Cricetulus griseus: one gene and its partner. The protein of the gene in region 1 purifies or fractionates together with the protein of each later gene. This does not show direct contact. Links are inferred from orthologs where the notes say so. Each region holds a gene or a part of one and is shown on either strand. Other genes may lie near its edges.

Region 1 (4,978 bases):
AGAAGATACAGACCAAAGCCAGAGTACAGCGACTATAGGTGGACCTAAGAAAGCCACAGAAGTACTGGGGGCACTCAATCACTATAGACCTGGGACTCAGGGGGGGACCAAGATGGCTCATATGGATTCTCCACTTCTTCCCGTGGGTTTGAAACTAACACGCTGCAAAGGAGAAATGATTTCCATTTCAGAACATTGAATCCAGGCTAAGCACAAGGCCCCATTTCTGCCTGAGTGGAGCTCTCCCATGGACTGGCCTATGCTTGGAGACAATGTAGTCTGATTATTGCTGCTTGTAGTAACTTACTCTGTGTGACCCACAGCAACTACACAGGGACGCAGGAGGCTGAATAGATTGAATCAACTTCCAATATAAAGCATTAAGTTACACCAAGTTTTCTTGATTCTATGAGTATATAGACGAGGGAGAAAGAAATAACATAATCCGGTTCTAACTGAAGGCAAAAATGCCAGTTACCTCTCTCACACCAGGACTAAAGGGGTCTTGAAACCAGGGCCTGGTATTTAACAACAATGACGATGATAATAGCTTCCCATCATGGAGAACTGCACTATGAGTTCTGGTTAGCAGTTTGCATATTTTAAACTTTAAACATAAACGTCCCATGGATAAAGAAGATAATAAACCATCTACTTTGCTTGCAAGTTGAGGCAGCTGTGTCTAAGAAGACAGTTTCTAACAGGCATGTTTAAAATGCTAGCTCTAATTTATAATATTTGATCTCAGCCTCAGTTTCCTCCTCTCTAACACCTAGACAAAGCCAGCTCCCTCAAAGGCCTTTGGGGAGGTTCTGCTGGAGACAGTAAGTCCGATATTAGGATATTAGCCTGTGGCCATTATGTTTACATCCTTTCTCCTATTACAATTGTGAACTGCTTCTCTGGACCTCCAGCAACAGCTGCTTAATGTCTACAGCTTATCCCAAGACAAATTTCCTCTCAAGCAATGAACATTTTTCCCCCAAAGCCAGCCTAATATATTTGACACCAGCTCAATGCCTTCACATGCAAGATTCCACTTAATCCTCCCACAACCTAATGAGGGAGGTCCTATGGCTACACCCACCAGTTTTACAGATGGAGACACTGAGGCTCAGAACTGTGGTAACTTGCCCAGATTCAATGCCAGCAATAGAGACAGCAGCCTGGCTCCTTGACACAACAGGCCACCCTGTTTAATGCCCACACTTGGCTACAATTTCTTCTAGAGGTCAGCATTCAATGCTCTTATAAACTCAATGTGTTGACTGGCTTTTGAACTTTAAAACAGTACCTTTTTTCCTCTTAGAATTCTTAAAATAAAAAACTATGTTTAAATCAGGTGCCTGTCACTAGTTAGTTCATCTTGTTTTGTTCACTGAAACACATTAATATATACACTCCTCTTTCTAAAGGTCATCTAAAATATTATATTAACTCACATCCCTGAGTTTTTATTTCAAATCCAAATGCATGTATTTTTCTCTGTACAGATTTCTTTCTATCTGTAGATGCATACATATCACATGGCAGCTGCAACATGAGATATTTAGTTAATGTAAAGCCTCCTATGGTCAGTGCTCTAAATATTATCTTTCTTTATAATTTCACTGCCTATCAGCCACACAGCAGGGCTGTATGGTATTTCAAAGAATTCCTTTTACAATTTAATCAGCTCAAGTATTAACATCAATGGCATTAATCCATTGCTCTGCTTTAAAAGAATCTCTAGGGGGCAGCTGAGAAAGAAAGGTTAAAGATTTCTACCCTTCAAAGTAGGCCACTGCAGCTACCTATAAATCATGCTCTTTGTTTATTAAGATAATTAAGCCCATCAGTGCACTTAACTTTCAGACTCAACAATTGTCTGGCATGAACAGTCTCCACTCTCCCTAAAACAAAAGGGGATGTGTTCTAAAGGGGGTCCTGTGCATGGTCTCTGTACTATGTATGGTATTTTAAAGCATGATTTATGTATCCAATTCCTTGAACTGTCTTGAAAAATACACCGAGTTCTTCCTCCGGTGTTCCCCATTAGGAGAAGACGCTTCAATTTAAAGACTGCCCTGTTTCTGACTACAAGCCGCTATATCATGTCAACATTTTCATTAAATACGGTTCAAGCTGGACTTGAAACAAATGGAGTGGAGGCACAGCTGCAGCCCCTGCGGATGCAAAGTTACCCAGCCAGGAGGCTTACATAAGAGATGCAGGACAACTCAGCCACCATCTGAATCCTCTTTCTTTGAGACTTGCCTCCATTCTTAAAGCATATGCATAAAAGCGCGCAGATCGTTCTTCTCATTTTCTCTGCCTTAGAGCACAAAACACTCAGTTGACATAGAAGTTGTTTTTCCCTAAAGGATTAGGCTCCAATTATGGGAGGGTGCCAACTTCTGCCTAGGGGGAGAGTGAAGTGGGATGCACAGAAAGCCTGCAGGCCTGAGCAGCAATGTCTCAGCTTCTCATCTCTGTGCCAGTCCTCAGAGGGGATGTCAGCAGAGCTTCCTAGGATGGAGGTGGCGGACGCCCCTGACCCCACGCCGCGCAGAATCAAGGAGCTCAAAATGTGCAATTAGCGGCGGGCCAAATGCCCTCAGAGCACCTGTCTCTCCTAGCACGTTTCCAACTGGCGCAATCAGCAGAGGCAGGAGCCAGCCCTGGACTCCAGCCTTAAGTCCTCGAGTGACATGCCCCCCTCCTTTGCAGCCCAGTACTCCCTCCTCCAGCTGCAGCCAGGAGGTGCCACCTCGGCCTGGCACGACAGGAATCAAACGAACCTGTCCTTCCCACACTGCCTGCAACTTCAGAAACTACAGTCAACTTACTGGCTCTCAGGAGGCAGGGGTCTTCTGGGGCTTCAACGAGCTAAGAAGCGCTGCAACTCCGTCGTATGCATCCGGGCTGGCCCTCTGTGGCGGGTGGCAGCGGGTGCAGGATTCTCCCGGTCCTTGTCGCCTGAGCTCTACCGCGCCCGGGGCGGCGCACTCTCCCGGGCGCACCGGGTGGCCTCGGCTACCCGGACTGCGCCGAGGACCGGAGCAAGCGCCGTAGCGGCCGCGAGACCCTGAGAGCTGCGCTCGGAGCTCCAGGTGCGTGTCTCCCGCTCCGACGAAATGCGACGCCACGGAGTCCCCGCAAGAGAGGCGCCGACGCGCTGCAGAGCTGCCGGTCCGCCCCCGAGGAGCAGTCACAGCGCCCGCGCGCCGGGCAGGAACCGCAGTCCGCACTGGCCGCCGAGCCGCGGAGAATGACAGCGCCGAGGAGCGGCGCGCGGGAGCCAGTGCGCATGTTCGCGATTGCTGCGGCACGTCACGGGGGCGGGACTAACGGGCGGGGTTGGGCGGAGAGAGCAGGGTGGGGCGGGGTCCTGGGCACGAAACTAATTTGGCCCACTGCAGGGCCAGGTGCTGGAGGCTGGCAAATGGGGCTGATAACCTAAAGCTCTGTGACAGGAGGTTGTCTTCTGAACTCATTGTCCCTTAAAAGGCAGTATATCGGAACTGTCTTAGGATCCCAGGACAGCCACAAGTCCCAAGTTTAACTCAGGTGATTCTTTAACCCCCAAGGGCTGCAATTTGTGCGACACCTTCTTTCACCTTGACCATACCTACCTAAAGTAAGAATTTGAGGAGCTTGTGAGAGCCCTTGCCCCGACCGCATCCCCAAAATAAGCACAGGAGACTCGAGCAGTGGGACCCAGGTTTGCAAATTGTAAATAAGCATCTAATGATACAGAATATACTAATTGTTTGGTAATACAGATCTGCCCATGAAGACTCAGAGAGTCTGGAAGTTGGAAGAATCCCCACTCCAATAGGTCCAAGAAGACACCAGTGCTGCCAGCCTCCCCCGCCCCGCATCCTTGCCAAGTAGAGGGCTAAGAACTAGGAGCAGCTTCTCAAGTGTTGGTCTGCTGGAGAATCAGTGAGAAGAGCTTTTAACTCAAGAAAACAAATTCCCAACGCGTATCCACAGTGATTCTGGTTCAGCCATTAGACAAAGTGGGTGGGGGTGGGGCCCTGTAATAACGCCTGTAAAACTCTGTAGATAAATCGGACTGGGGTTATGTTGGCTTCAAATTTTAGGTTATTACACCTGCAACCTAGGATTGAAGATAGACGTTGTAGTAACACATAACCAGACCAGATGTGGAACTCAAAGAATTCTAAACCAACCAGTCCTTTGAGTAGCCCAGTTTTTCTGCATGCATTTCTTAAGAGTTTTTTAACAGGAGAAACGGCACTAGAGATATTGAACATACACACATTCACTTTATTGGATACATATGTTTCACTTTTAAAGGGAGCGCAAGTTGCCTGGATAAAAAGGGCTCATTGTGAGGGAATGGAAGCAGTGACTGAGAAGGGAATGTTAATATTTTGCAGAGGAGAGGAGAGTGTGGGGGAGATTTTTTGACTCAACCTTTGGCTTGGAAAGATACTTCAGGGCTCGCAAAGCAGGATCAGGCTTGGCCTCCCATTTCAGAGGATGGCTAGAAGCTCACTGGTTCACAAGCTGGTAAGGCTGTGGATTTCACAACCAAGCTGTGTTAGTTACTTTTCTCATTGCTTTAACGAAATGCTTGGCAACAGCAACTCAAGGTAGGAAGCCTTTATTCTGAATCATGGTTTGAGGGTCCAGTCTCCAATGGTGCAGACCACAGGGGTGTGAAGCATCTGGTCACACTGCATCTTCAGTAGGGGTGAACGCTTAGAGGCTTAACCTTTTTATTCCAATATCCCAGTCCATGATAAAGCACTGCTCACAGGGCTTCCCTCCTCATGTAAAGCTCCCTGAAAACACCTTTACAGACACACCCAGAGGTTTGTTTCCAAAGAGACTCTAAATCCTGGAAAGCTGACAAGATGGAACATCACAATTGCCTCCAGAATCCCACAATGATCTTCTAAATAGACACGGAAAGTTATTTTATCTATTTTACACACTTCAAAACACATTTTGGAGGGCTCAGTTG
Region 2 (3,459 bases), about 120 Mb from region 1:
ATCCAAAAGTGCATGTCTTCCACCGAAGGGAACAGGACTCAGTACCTCTGGCCAAGTAACAGGATTCTGACCAGGTGGTCACCTCCATCACCAGAATTAAAGATGGCTGCATTGCATATATGTGGCTTCCCTACTAGTGACAGCCCTGAGTTTCATGCTATAGATGACAGAAGATTGTAAACTGTCAGAAGTTAGGGAGTATTCCAGATGACAGGTTCACAAGGTCCTGTCACAGAGAAAGAAGGGCATGATATGACAGACAAAAAAAAAAAAAAAAAAAAAAAAAAGGCAAGGGCGAGAGTACCTGAAAGTAGCTGGGAGGTCACACTAAGTGTGGTATTTCCTGTGCTGTCAGGAAGGCCAGTGCAGGGCAGGCTGTGCTCAACCTCCCGCCACGTCCAGTCAAGAACATCAGCACTAGGCAGTTCCTGCATAGGGGCAGGAAGGTGTCAGATGATAGATGGCCTGCCCGAGGTCATCCATAAACAAAGGCCCTGCCTCCCTGTCAAAAGTTCCCAAACCTCCGAGCACTATGGGGGTCACCAGGCCAGATGGTGCCCAGCCCTGCTGGCATGAGGGCAAGTCTCAGACACTGTGCACAGGCATGGTGAAAACTATAAAGGCCCTAAATGGATCGTGTATGTTCTGCAAATAGTAGACTGCTTGCTCATATTCCATGGGGTATTTGTGTGTGCGCTTTGTTCATACAGAGGTTTCTTTTTAATTGTGTTTGTGTGGGGATATCTGCATGTAAATGCAGGTATCTGCAAGGGCCAGAGGTGTCAGATCTTCTGGAACTGGAATTACAGGCAGCTGTGAGCCGCCCAGTGTGCATGCTGGGAACTGAGCCCAGATTCTCTGCAAGAGCAGGACACACTCAGAGCCACCAAGCCATGTCCCCCACTCCTACGTTTTTATCTGTTTGACTGAGGTACAATTTACACACAACACATTTTGTCTAAGAGCCACGTCAGTACACACATGCTACACTGGGGTCACAGCCTGCAGCCCATGGGCCAAGCCTGGCCGCCCACCTGGTTTTATCTTAAGTCCTTTCTGTGGCATGAAGAAAACAAAGCTTGCATTCGCCCACCCAGACAAAAATATTTGCTGTTGGCCCCTCACAGGAAAAGCATGGGCATTGGACACACCACTTCTCTCACTTCTCAGCTCCCCCTGACCTTTCACCGGTGTTCCCTACCCCTAGCAGCCACTGATCTGCTTTCTGTCATGCAGTCTTCTGCCTTCCTGTGGTCTAACATAAATGAAATCATCTAGTATGTTGCCTTTTGTGTCTGGCTTCTTTCACTTGCAGTGCTTTGAGATTCACGGTCTGGGCTTTTGCATCTATGAGTTCTTCATTCCTTTGTTCCGTTCTTTCTGCACGGTGTGACAACCGATGAAAGGCATAGTTCCCCTCCCAAGAGGGTGAATGGCATCCCTATGCTTTACCTGTGTGACATGGTAGTCAAGGCCTAGAGCCCAGGCATGCCTGCTCTCACTGCCCCTTGTTTTTGTAGGCATGAACAACCGGGAGGTGCTGGAGCAGGTGGAGAGAGGCTACAGGATGCCCTGCCCACAGGACTGCCCCATCTCCCTGCACGAGCTCATGATCCACTGCTGGAAAAAGGATCCGGAAGAGCGCCCCACTTTCGAGTACTTGCAGGGCTTCCTGGAGGACTACTTTACCGCCACAGAGCCCCAGTACCAGCCCGGTGAAAACCTGTGAGAGCCTGCTCTTCAGAGACCTCTTCTGAGGCCTCCCCACCCCTCCCCATTAGCTTCCAGTTCCGTAGCCAGCTGCCCTGAGCAGCAGAACCGTCCAGGATCAGATTGCATGTGACTCTGAAGCCGGCGAACTTCCACGGCCCTCATTAATGACATTTGCCCCCCAGTCCGAACCTCCTCTGTGAAAGCATCCAGACAGAACCGTGTTATTTCTCAGACTTTGGAAATGCATTGTATCGATGTTATGTCAAAGGCCAACCTCTGTTCAGTGTAAATATCTGCTCCCGTGCCAACAATCCTAGTACTTTCCTTTTTTAAAAAAAAAACAAAATGCAAATCCTATGTGATTTTAACTCTGTCTTCACCTGATTCAACTAAAAAAAAAAAGTATTATTTTCCAAAAGTGGCCTCTTTGTCTAAAACAATAAAATTTTTTTTCATGTTTTAACAAAAACTGATCAGGACAGGTGTTTGTTTTTTTTCTTTTTTATACATATGAATATATACGTAAAATGTTCCTGTATATACACCATGTGGGTGCTACCATGGAGACTGTGGCCAGCAAAGGCCACATAGTTACAGGGCCCAGAGTGAGGATCACTGGGGAAACCTGCATCTAAGCACTGGTGTTATTTTGAAAGCCGGTGGCCTCCGTTTTTTACTTCTACAAAGCATGATTTTCCCCCCTTCATTTGGATTGCACTTTTTCAGTTCCAGTCATACCTGTAGATTGTTGTTCATGTGACTTTTCAGGTCCCTGAGCTGAGTTCACGCATTTTAGTGCCCGTTTCGCTCCAGCGTACTGTGATCTGTTCTTGCGACTTGAGAGTGAGCACACTTAAGCAAGCAGCCATCCAGTCCTACCCTGAGGGCTGCAAGACGGAGACCGCATAGACTTGCTGTATAGATATGAATGCTGACTTGTTTTAAATGTTCTTCTTTTATTTAATAAATCTTGTAACCACATTTAAATGGTCTAAAACCCATATAGCATTGTAGTCACGGCAGCCTACTAAACTTTCTCATGCAGCTAAAAATGACGGGGAAGGCAAGGGTGGGGGGTTGTACATGTCCCATTGTAAAATAAGTGTTCCAATGTCCTGTACTGCTAATGAATGACTCTCCATGTCGAGCGTACTCCAGTCAATAACTATGCACTACTTTACATTTCATGGGGGTGCACAAGAGGGTTGCGTTTTCAGTTGCTGTTTGTACCAACCTTGAATTACATATGTTTAACAACAACAAATCAATTCCTATTTCTATTGAGTTTTTTAATACTGAATAGCAACTCTAAAGTCTTAATTCCTTTTTTGTTAATGATTTATTTGTGAGTTTACATTTTTAATTGTTTAACTTTCTTAATTTAGTAATTAAAAAGAGAGCATTTTACATTTGAAAAAAAATTTGTTCATTTGTGTACATCACAGGAGGTACCATAGGCGTTCTGTGACATATCTGTCCCACACCAGATGGTGAAGAATCACCTGGTGAATTTGGCCATTGGGCAATGATTTCCAAATGACAGAAACATTCAGAACATCTGGAGACCCTCCCCACTAAGAGTCAAAGTGATTGTCTGACTAATTCAGAGGACTGTTGCAGCCAAACTGGGCATTCCTGAGTGTTGTAGTCTATCTGACCCTGTCTCTAAATGAAATTTACTGTGTCTCATTTGTAGAGGAGAGAGAATAGTCTTTCTTGATCTTGAGACATAAATACATTTCCAAG

What was found. Proteins that work in one complex are often made in the same cells at the same time.
Region 2: the proteins of Pag1 (region 1) and Fyn purify together in Homo sapiens (co-immunoprecipitation; 3 studies listed by BioGRID and IntAct, with this or other methods). This does not show direct contact. The link is inferred for Cricetulus griseus from reciprocal best matches to the Homo sapiens genes PAG1 and FYN.

The regions. Positions count from the first base shown.
Region 1 is NC_048595.1:138,036,667-138,041,644, reverse strand, and holds the start of Pag1 (phosphoprotein associated with glycosphingolipid-enriched microdomains 1), read right to left. Parts: upstream 3,247-4,978; 5' UTR 2,829-3,246; intron 1-2,828. UniProt on the Homo sapiens protein: Negatively regulates TCR (T-cell antigen receptor)-mediated signaling in T-cells and FCER1 (high affinity immunoglobulin epsilon receptor)-mediated signaling in mast cells.
Region 2 is NC_048595.1:262,065,659-262,069,117, forward strand, and holds the end of Fyn (tyrosine-protein kinase Fyn), read left to right. Parts: intron 1-1,520; coding exon 1,521-1,729; 3' UTR 1,730-2,694; downstream 2,695-3,459. UniProt on the Homo sapiens protein: Non-receptor tyrosine-protein kinase that plays a role in many biological processes including regulation of cell growth and survival, cell adhesion, integrin-mediated signaling, cytoskeletal remodeling, cell motility, immune response and axon guidance.